Ovis aries: one gene and its partners. The protein of the gene in region 2 purifies or fractionates together with the protein of the main gene of each other region. This does not show direct contact. Links are inferred from orthologs where the notes say so. Each region holds a gene or a part of one and is shown on either strand. Other genes may lie near its edges.

What was found.
Region 1: the proteins of GOLGA7 (region 2) and ZDHHC5 purify together in Homo sapiens (co-immunoprecipitation; 3 studies listed by BioGRID and IntAct, with this or other methods). This does not show direct contact. The link is inferred for Ovis aries from reciprocal best matches to the Homo sapiens genes GOLGA7 and ZDHHC5.
Region 3: the proteins of GOLGA7 (region 2) and CLDND1 purify together in Homo sapiens (affinity purification with mass spectrometry; 3 studies listed by BioGRID and IntAct, counting the BioPlex papers as one, with this or other methods). This does not show direct contact. The link is inferred for Ovis aries from reciprocal best matches to the Homo sapiens genes GOLGA7 and CLDND1.

What each region holds. Positions count from the first base shown.
Region 1 is NC_056068.1:79,735,691-79,739,340, forward strand, and holds part of ZDHHC5 (palmitoyltransferase ZDHHC5), read left to right. Parts: intron 1-2,110; coding exon 2,111-2,268; intron 2,269-3,368; coding exon 3,369-3,541; intron 3,542-3,650. UniProt on the Homo sapiens protein: Palmitoyltransferase that catalyzes the addition of palmitate onto various protein substrates such as CTNND2, CD36, GSDMD, NLRP3, NOD1, NOD2, STAT3 and S1PR1 thus plays a role in various biological processes including cell adhesion, inflammation, fatty acid uptake, bacterial sensing or cardiac functions.
Region 2 is NC_056079.1:35,764,366-35,768,517, forward strand, and holds the start of GOLGA7 (golgin subfamily A member 7), read left to right. Parts: upstream 1-1,231; 5' UTR 1,232-1,277; intron 1,278-1,330; exon of another isoform or gene 1,331-1,391; intron 1,392-1,606; 5' UTR 1,607-1,628; coding exon 1,629-1,739; intron 1,740-4,152. UniProt on the Homo sapiens protein: May be involved in protein transport from Golgi to cell surface. The ZDHHC9-GOLGA7 complex is a palmitoyltransferase specific for HRAS and NRAS.
Region 3 is NC_056054.1:163,729,574-163,732,113, reverse strand, and holds the end of CLDND1 (claudin domain-containing protein 1), read left to right. Parts: intron 1-310; coding exon 311-448; intron 449-571; coding exon 572-792; 3' UTR 793-1,978; downstream 1,979-2,540. UniProt on the Homo sapiens protein: Plays a role in negatively regulating the permeability of cells to small molecules.

The DNA of each region.
Region 1 (3,650 bases), on a different chromosome or scaffold from region 2:
GTTTTTGGTCCTTCTGTGCAGCTTGTGGGATCTTAGTTCCCTGACCAGGGATTGAACCCAAGCCCCAGCAGCAAAAGCGCCGAGCCCTGACCACTGAACCACCAGGGAATTCCCAACAAGAACCGTTTTAATCATGTGTTTACGTATGTGGGAGAGAGACAGTGAAGTTACCGAGACTGCAGTTTGGAAGGCAGGGAATGGGACATGAGGGAGCAGCGTCCTTGAGGATTAAGGTTTTTCTTTCAAGAAGTTGAGCAGAGAAGGCAGGAGTGTCTTGGGAGAGAAGGAAGGGTCTCGTTTGTTCGTGATGCAGAAGGCGTTACGTGGTGGTAGCATGAGGAGGTGGAGCCAGAGGGGAGAGAGGCTGAAGCTGAGGGAAGCGGGTAACTGAAGAGTGGCCGGGAGGAGGAGCGGCTCCCCTCTCCTGGGGGAAGGGTGCTGCTCACAGAGCTGGGCTGCTTCAGGCACAGGAGGCGAGAGTGAGGCCCAGCATCGCTGGAGTAAGGTAGAGAAGTGGCTGCTGCTGCGGGCGTCTGACTTTCTCTCGCGTGTGCGGTTGCCTCGTGGAAGAGGCTGGGGCTGGGCAGCTGCAGCGCGGGGAGGTGTCTGAGACTCGCCGCTCTCAAAGCCCATGTCGCCGTGCTCTGCGGCTGCTGTGTCAAAGGCGACCGTAGTAGGAGGCGCGTTGAGATCCTAGCGCCAAAGAAGGCTGCTGTACCAAGGTTTAATGGCCATTTATCAAATATTTACTGATGATTGTGGTCATTCGGGATTTTTTTTTAAGGTCCTTGCTTTCAAATAGCTTAGTCTAGAAGGGAAGATAGGGAAGACATTTACATAGATGTATACACTGGGGACTTTTAAGAGGAATCAAAAACTGTAGAACTGTAAGAAGAGCAAGAGCTCACTTCTGACAGACGATGGTGTGGAAGAATCAGTTATTTCAAACTAAGTAGTGTTTGAATTTTTTCCTTAAAAAAAATAGAATCTTCATAATGTAGAAAGTATAAAATAGATAGTGAAAGTCGCTCAGTCGTGTCCGACTCCATGGAATTCTCCAGGCCCGGACGCTGGAGTGGGTAGCCTTTCCCTTCTCCAGGGGAGCTTCCTGACCCAGGGATCGAACCCGGGTCTCCCGCATTGCAGGCAGATTCTTTACCAGCTGAATCGCCAGGGAAACACGCAAAGTGGGTGAATGTCACCTGTGATTTCACAGCCCAGGGATAACTGCTGCTACATTGCCATCTGTTTTCGTTCAGTCAGTGTTCTGAAGACTCACGCATGCAGTGCTCCTGCGCACCATACACCTGCAGCACACGTGTGCCCGTCGGTGTTTGTTTCCAAATGGGACCTTTTAGTTTGTACCGCCCTTTACCTTGTCCTTTTCACTTAGTTACATTGTGAGCATTTCCCTTAGTCAGTGAGTTTGAAGACTTTAATAATCGCTACACCATCACTTACTTAATTTTTCCTTCCGACAGGTATTTTTTTTTTAGATTAAGAATTTAAAGTAATGGAAATTGCTTACTATAGATGAAGGCAAATAATGTTTCAGTTTTGAAGTGGGGTGGTGAGTTTTTTGTTTTAATAGTAGATTTACAGTGTTGCATTGCTTTCTGCTGTGTGAGTTTCTGATAGCTGAAAACTGAAAGGGCGTTCAGGGAAAGAGAGTGTCTGGAACCAAGAACAGTACTGACATGTGTAGGGGGTCAGGGGAAGACCTCTGACTAGGGGCTTTGTGCACGGAGAGAAGGTTCACACTAGTTCGCTTCTCCCCATTTGGGTTTCTGTAGCTCAGCCGTGTACTTGTCAATATTGAACTGTTATGCAGACTCATTATATATGTGCTTTGATATGTAAATCATCTATTTCTTTTGAAATATATTCATAATATGTAAACCAAGAATCCCAGCCTATCCATATCAGAGCCGCCTCTGAGTCATCCTCTTCCCCGCTTTTCCCAGCGTAGAATAAATTACTTCCTCATTTCCATGGTGGTGTGTATAGAGCTGATCGCCGCATTCCTTGACGGCAGCGTCACTGCGCCTGTCCCCAGGGCCTAGTACAGTTGCGGCACCGCGGTGTTTTCAGGAACGTTTCCTCTCTACAGCTGAAGAGGATGAAGACAAAGAAGACGACTTCCGGGCGCCACTATACAAAACCGTGGAGATCAAGGGCATCCAGGTGCGCATGAAATGGTGCGCCACCTGCCGCTTCTACCGGCCGCCCCGCTGTTCCCACTGCAGCGTCTGCGACAACTGCGTGGAGGTGAGCGCCGCGCGACGCCTCCCCCAGGCCATCGGCGGCCGCCCGCGGCATCGGGGCGAGTCCTGCGGGCTCTGGGCCGAGGCCGGCTCCTGGGGCTGTTCTCGCTCCGCCAGAGTGCTGGCAGCCGTGTACGTGGAGAGCCGTGTATGTGCGTGTCCTGCTGCGGGCGGGACCCCGGGTGGGCAGGCGCAGGCCCCCCACACCCAGCCCCAGCCCCGGCCCCGGCTCACCTCCTTGGCTGCTGGCCCTGGCCCCGTGCTCTCTGTCTCCCACGCCACGCTGCTGCACTCAGGTTCTACAGCAGGGAGCTGCTGCGGGCCCACCATCCGGCACAGGGCGCTCTGCTCAGGGCCCTGTGTGCCCTCGGCGGGCAGGGCCCACACAAGGCGGCCCATGGCTACAGACGGCTGCTGCGCTCGCTGTACAGCAGGAGCCGGCACAGTATGGTAAAGCGCCTATACTCGGATAAAAATTAAAAAATAAACGTGCAATTTTCAAATTAAAAACACAAAAAAAATTGTATAATTTCTCTTTCTGTCCTGCATTCCTTGTCCTTTATTTTTAACCCTTTTCCCAGTCCATTTTTACTTGGCTATAAGCAGTTGCCTACTAGATGTTTTTTCCAAAGAAAAATCTTAATGTATCCTCAAGCCTCTGACGTTTGTGCCTGTCAGAGCTCCTTGGTCACATAGGATAAACTGTGAGAGATGGCCTTGGCCTTTGATCAACCTCTGGAAGGTCTTTGTTACAGATTGATGTGTTAAGTCACTTCAGTCCTTCCAGTTCTGTGTAGCCCTTTGGACTGTAGCCTCCCAGGCTCCTCTGTCCGTGGGGTGCTCCAGGCCAGAGCCCCGGAGCGGGCTGCTGTTTCTTCCTGCAGGGGCCTTCCCCACCCAGGGATGGAGCCCGCGTCTCTCGTGTCTGCCTTGGCCGGCGGGCTCTGTGCTCTTCTCCCCCACCCGGGAGCCCTCCAGAGCGATAGATAAGCCGCAGGAGCCTGTTGTTACATTTTGCAACCAAGTGGTGAACGTGATCACACGTAGCTAAAGCGGCGTCTGGTTCCGTCAGCCGTGGCCCCAGCCTGCCCTGTCCGCCCGCAGGAGTTCGACCACCACTGCCCCTGGGTGAACAACTGCATCGGCCGCCGGAACTACCGCTACTTCTTCCTCTTCCTCCTCTCCCTGACGGCCCACATCACGGGCGTGTTTGGCTTCGGCCTCCTTTACGTCCTCTACCACATGGAGGAGCTCTCTGCGGTCCGCACAGCTGTCACGTATCCTTCGAGGCCTGTGGGCCGCCGCACTACCGGGGTGGGGGGCGGCGGCAGGGAGAAGGCGGAGGCCCGTGGCAGTGGGGCGGGGCTGGGGGGTGGTCACGGGGTC
Region 2 (4,152 bases):
GGGTGGACTCAGAGTTGGACAGGGAGGCCTGGCATGCTGCGGTTCATGAGGTCACAGAGTTGGACACGACTGAGCGACTGAACTGAACTGAACTGAATCAAAGTTATGGTTTTTACAGTAGTCATGTATGAATGTGAGAGTTGGACTATAAAGAAAGCTGAGTACTGAAGAATTGATGCTTTTGAACTGTGGTGCTGGAGAAGACTCTTGAGAGTCTCTTGGACTGCAAGGAGATCCAACCAGTCCATCCTAAAGGAAATCAGTCCTGAATATTCATTGGAAGGACAGATGCTGAAGCTGAAACTCCAGTACTCTGGCCACCTGATGTGAGGAACTGACTCATTGGAAAAGACCCTGATGCTGGGAAAGATTGAGGGCGGGAGGAGAAGGGGATGACAGAGGATGAGATGGTTGGATGACATCTCCGACTTGATAGACATGCATGTGAACGAGCTCTGAGAGTTGGTGATGGACAGGGAAGCCTGGCATATTGCATTCCATGGGGTTGCAAAGAGTTGGACAGGACTGAATGACAGAACTGAATAGGCACACAATTTAAAACATGAATTGTTTATTTCTGGAAACTTCCATTTCATCTTTTCAGACTGAGGTTGACTGAGGGGAGAGGCGGTAACTGAAACCTGAGAAAGCAAAACAGAGGATAAGGTGGAATAGTGTATCAGCCAGGCACACCAGGGCCTTCTGTGGTTGCCTTGCAAAGGTATGCTGAGCTGGGGGAGGGCGCCAAGGGCCCACACAAGCCTCTCAGGTCACCTGAGGGGCAGAGGCTGGGGTACTAGGTAAAAATCTTTGGGGTGAAAGGAAAAGACAACACCTCCAGGAAAGCTGGAGGAGGGGATGCGGGTGAGCAGTTTGTTTTGTACGGTTGAGTGGTTTCTCACGTGTAAACTGAGAGTTCCAATCAAAAGCGAAAATAAAACCTTTCAGTCAGTGATTAGAAACTCTGTCCGCACGACAAAAGAGGAAATGACACAGCAGGGAAATGACACAGGGCAGAAATCCCCAGCCTTTAGGCCAAGTACCCCCTGGTGAGCTCAGTCTGCAAGGGCCCGCAGCCCCGCCCCCCGGGCCTGAGGACCCGCCCCCGGACCCGCCCCGCAGCCCCGCCCTGCCTCTTCCTTCCAGCCGGACTCCTACGGGCAGGGCGGGGGGCGGAGTCCGCCCGGGCCCCGCCCACAGCGCGTCCCCGCAAGGTAGCGCGCAGTCTCGACAGGATCGCTTTACGGCCGGAGGAGAGGGTGGGCCCTAGACTTGAGGTAAGTGTTCGAGCAGAGGGGCGGGTAGGTGGAGCGCGGGGAAGAGGCCTTTTGCGGCAGGACGTAAGTGGAGGCGTAGGCGTTGCGACAGCAGCTGGAGGGCAGAGGAGGCGGGTTCGTGTTTCCCGGGCCGAACCGGGCTGTGGGGGGGCGCGGGGCCTGGGCCGGGGAGGGAGCTGAAGGGCCGTGGTGCCAGCATGGGTGAAGGGGAGTGGGGCCGGGAGGCCTTGGGCCGCTCTGGGCGCTGGGCGGATCTGTGGGGCTGGCGGGCCGGAGTCCTGGGTCCAGGCCGGGGGTATGACCGTGATTGGTGTCCCCCGAACCCGCAGCGCGGCCCGTCCTGTCCTCGCCATGAGGCCGCAGCAGGCGCCGGTGTCCGGGAAGGTCTTCATTCAGCGAGACTACAGCAGTGGCACCCGCTGCCAGTTCCAGACCAAGTTCCCCGCGGAGCTGGAGAACCGGGTACGCAGCCGGGCTCCCCGCACCTGCGCTCGGCCGGGGCGGCGGCAGGGTGCGCGTCTGGGAGGGGCCGGGCACAGCAGGGGCCTGGGCCAGGGCTGTGCCAGGACGGGTCTGGTAAGCAAGACCCGGGGTCGGGAGCAGGAGGAATGAGGCCAAGCGCCGGACCGGGTGACCTGACGATGGCCAGGGCCGGAATCGGTACGCTGCCGTCCTCCCCACCCCACCGCGGGTTAGTGACCACAGTGATGAGGCGCTTGATTCCTGACCCTCCAGGCCACCCACCTCGGCGTGTTGTGTAAGCTGCATTCTCCAACCTCACCACGCAAAGGAGATCACCATCATTCGAGTGACGGGCGTCCGGCCGCTTGTGCTGGTTTATTATTCGGTGCTGTGCTGGGCACCGCAGACAGGCCTTCTCCGAACCTTGAGAAACACAGAGTAGTGCATGGGTCTGGACACGGAAATAATCTCAGAAGGAGGCCCTCAACTGGTTTCTTTTGCTGTTATCGCTGGGAGCCGACTTTTGTTGGCCTGTGGGCCAGAACTGTCATCAGAATGTGGGTCCTTTGGGCGGTCTTGCTCGCAGGAAGGGGTGTTTCTCCTTTCTTCAGACTTAATAAAAAGAATAATAATGGTCATTGGATCTTACTGTAAAGGTGCAGCGAAGTGAGACTATGTATGTGTTTTCTTGTGCCTAAGTGTGTTCACACACCCAAAGACAGACTGGTCTTGAGGTTTGTAAGGTGAACCTGTTTCCTGCTCAGAGGTCAGCTTCTGGTTAGATGGGAGCAGGTTTTGCGGTTCTTTTCTCTTTGACAAGAGGGTGAGGGAGTCAGGGGTGATTGGGCATGGGTGTGGAGCTGTGAAGTGCTGGCCGTGGAGTGGGTAGGTGTCGATGAGTATGTGCTGGAGCGATGTGCAGCAGTCATTTAAAATTAGCTTGTGGGGTGGTAGGTCGTTCTACCTGATTGCCAAGGCGGGATAATCAACAAAGATCAATGACAGTGCGCTTTGGCTTGATTTCGAACCCTCAGCAGGTTAGTGGCCCAAGTATGTTTCTTTAAATGCAAATTAAGGCCCCAACACACCTTATAAAGATGATTCCTAGATTAGTTTGTTTGTGAAATATCCTGTAATTGTTGCAGTTTGTTGTCGCCAAGTTATGAGATAACTCAGCCTGACACTAGATGGACACCTCCATGGTGGTTTGAGAAGATAGAAATTGAGCAAGTTGCCTGTTGGCTAGAGCTACTGAATGTGGTTTTTAAAATAATTTAGCATTACAGTTAACAGGCTTTTTTAGTACTTATATGAAATAGATCAAATGTTTCACTTTTAAGTCTCTTAGGGAAACTGACTTAATACTGTTTATGTGCTTTCGGATCAGAATGTAAACAGCTCTTTTGCCCCACACTCATTTGGATGTCACTTGATGCTTTGTTTAAAGGATTTAAAAGTCAAACTTCCAGCTCATAATTGAGCCAAGTCTATTTATGCAGAATCAGACATGAGCCTTCAACTCTGTGTGTGGTGGAACCTTTATTTTATAGTCTGAATACAGAAACGGTGCAGTTACAGTACTCCATGGATGGCTATAGGAAGTTGCTCTTGGCAAATTCTGGAGTCCCTTTCGTTTCTCTGACTTCGTGTAGCCCAGCACCACTTGTGATTCTTAGTACTATGTGTGTGTGTGCTTAGTCGCTCAGTCAGACTCTTTGCGACCCCATGGATTATAACCCGCCAGGCTCCTCTGTCCATGGGGATTCTCCAGGCAGGAATACTGGTGTGGGTTACCATTTCCTTCTCCAGAGACTCTTCCCAACCCAGGGATTGAACCCAGGTCTCCCACATTGCAGGCAGATTCATCTGAGCCACTAGGGAATCCCAAGAATACTGGGGTGGGTAGCCTATCCCTTCTCCAGGGGATCTTTCCGATCCAGGAATTGAACCGAGATCTCCTGCATTACAGGCAGATTCTTTATCAGCTGAGCTACCCTTGAAGTTTTTTTTTTTTTCTTTTTAAATGTTTGTGTTAAAACACTAGCTTATACTTGAAACTGTTTGAGAAAGCTTTGATTTTTTTTTAAGTGTGTTGAGATTAAATTTAAATTACAGGTTTAAATTTTCCTTGCTTTGTTTGATGGAAAATTGAAAGGTTTCTTACTTTGTTTCTCTACTGCTTAACCTAGAAATTGTACTGATTGCGCTGCCACTGAGGCTGAGTTTCCCTTTGTGAGAACGTCGTACTTGGCAATGTAATAGAGGGAGAAATAAACATCCAGCTGTTTTGTATGACTTTAAAGCATTAAACACACACACATTTGTACCCTTTAATTTGGGAGTAAGAACAAGTTCTGTGTGTTAACAAGTTTACTTTCTCACTGCCTCTGAGAACATAATACTTTGATGTGTA
Region 3 (2,540 bases), on a different chromosome or scaffold from region 2:
TTATAAAATGGAGGTAATAGTGCCTTCTTCATAGGGATGTTGGGAGGTTTAATACACAAAGCATGTATAGAACAGTGCCTGATACACAGGAAGCCCTTAGTAACAGTTAACTATTAGTGTCTTTTTGCTTTTGTCAGAAGAAAGTTAGCACTGTTTTGAACAATGTGCTTTAGGAAAAAAGCCTTAATATTAAAGTACCCCATTTTCACTTTTTGAGAAAAGTTCTGATAGAATATGAAAGAAATTGCCATTGTGAGAAAACTGAAATGGTAACATTTCATTTCTCTCTCTCTCTCTCTTTTGAAATCAGATCTTTGGCGTTGCCAGTTCCTTTTACCTTTTGTTAGTCTAGGTTTGATGTGCTTTGGGGCTTTGATTGGACTTTGTGCTTGTATCTGCCGAAGCTTGTATCCCACCATCGCCACAGGCATTCTCCATCTCCTTGCAGGTGGGTCTCCTTCAAATTTAGTTTTACCTCCTTGTTGCCTTAGGGATCACCTGTCGCTGCCTTTTATCATGCTCTTATCTAGCTATGTTGTTTTTTTTTTTTCCCCCTAAAATTTCCTCCAAGGTCTGTGTACACTGGGCTCAGTGAGTTGTTACGTTGCTGGAATTGAACTACTCCACCAGAAACTGGAGCTGCCTGAGAATGTGTCTGGTGAATTCGGATGGTCCTTCTGCCTGGCTTGCGTGTCAGCTCCCTTACAGTTCATGGCTTCTGCTCTCTTCATCTGGGCTGCTCATACCAACCGGAAAGAGTACACCTTAATGAAGGCATATCGTGTGGCATGAGTGGGAAGCTGCCTGCTTTACAGTTGCCATTTTTATGATTTTTTTTTATATTAATATTGTCCCTTACCTCCCCCTGAATTGTTTTTAATTTAACTTTTTTTGTGTGGATATATCATTTTATCCTGAAAACCCATTTTATTTATTCATGCAGACAGTTGTTTCTCAACACAACTAAAATTTAAATGGAACCTGGGTAATTCCATCTTTTAGTCAAACTAATCTAGGTTCAGAGTCCAGACAGAAAAAAATGGGTAGAGTCTTGGCACAAATTTGTGAGGAAAATTGGTAGTAGGAGGTTGACCCATAGCAAGTTCTGCTGATGTCTATTAGACTTTTCGGTAATGTAACTGTATCTGTTTAACTGGAACTTACAGTTTCTTTGGGAAACCTCTTATTGACAAAACTTATATTCACTTTGCTATTGTAGACAGCCAGTCAGCCAGAGATATTAGTGCTGTCTTCAAGGACTTTGGCTATCTAAAATAAGGAAATCATCTAAGATCCTTTTCCCTAAATATTGGCATACAGTTTCATCTGAAGTGAAATACTACAGTTTTTTATCTGTACACTGTCTGTTTAAAAGAAAGGGAGTGTTTACGTGGAATTTTAACTTTGTTAACTATAAAAATTCCAGTTCAGCCAGTCAGGACGATTAACCTTATTTTACTTTTTTTTTTTTTTTAAATCTTTAATATGTCAGTAGGATTTCCAGTATCAGCAAACCTTTCTGGATTTTTGTTCCTTCTCTCCTCACACACCAGAGTTATTACAAGACTGCTTTGTTTTAAATAATACATTGAGGTCACCGAGTAAAATTTTCCAACTGCTGTTTATTTCAGCTAAGTACCATAAAGAAGGTTCCACCGTAATGACCCTCCAGAGCTAGAACTACCACAAGACCTAAGGCTTTGGCTGGTCATTAACTTCCGACTATGGTCTTTATCTCTTGTGGTGGAATGATGTGCCTTTCCTTGCCTAATCCCCTCCTGGTGTGTGTCAGCATTATTTAATGTCTTCTAATTCAGTCATTTTTTTATAAATACGTCTATAAACATTGAACTTAAAAAAAATCTTATTTATTTATTCCATTACTGTAGTACTTGACAGATTAAAAAAAAGTAACAGTAATTTCTTACAAAATCCTAAATCTGTCTTTTTTAAAAAATAAAAAATGAGAAGAGACTCAGAGTTGTGTATAGTGTCTGAGTTTATTAAATTTCAGTACCTTAGGATAAAACGCACTATAGGATTCTGAATGAGGATTACTGTGATTTTCTGAGGGAAGTGCATTGTTGCTCTGAAGGCCTGTCTTTATGTCTACTGTTTGGGTCTCTTTTTTTATCTTCTAGAAAATGTGGGATGCCTCCACTAGAAAATAAGACTATTTTTTTTTAATGTTTCAGTTTTAAGACCTGTTTTCAAAGTATCATGTATTATGTATCATGTATTATGATACATATCATGTATTATGATAATATTATGTATCATTGCTAATGTGGCTAGTTTTTTTTTTCCTGTTTTTTATCTTTTGGCAGTGCCACATGGCAGGCGGGATCTTAGTTCCCCTGCTAGGGATCAAACCCCTTCCCCGTGGATTGGCTGCTCAAAGTCTTTACCACTGGACACCAGGGAAGTCCCAACATGGCTAGTTTTCGTAAAGTCATTTAATGGCTGGTGGATGTTTATGTTCCATATTAAATAATTAAGTCAGCTTCTGACTTAAAGCCAATATAACTCTTCAGTCAATT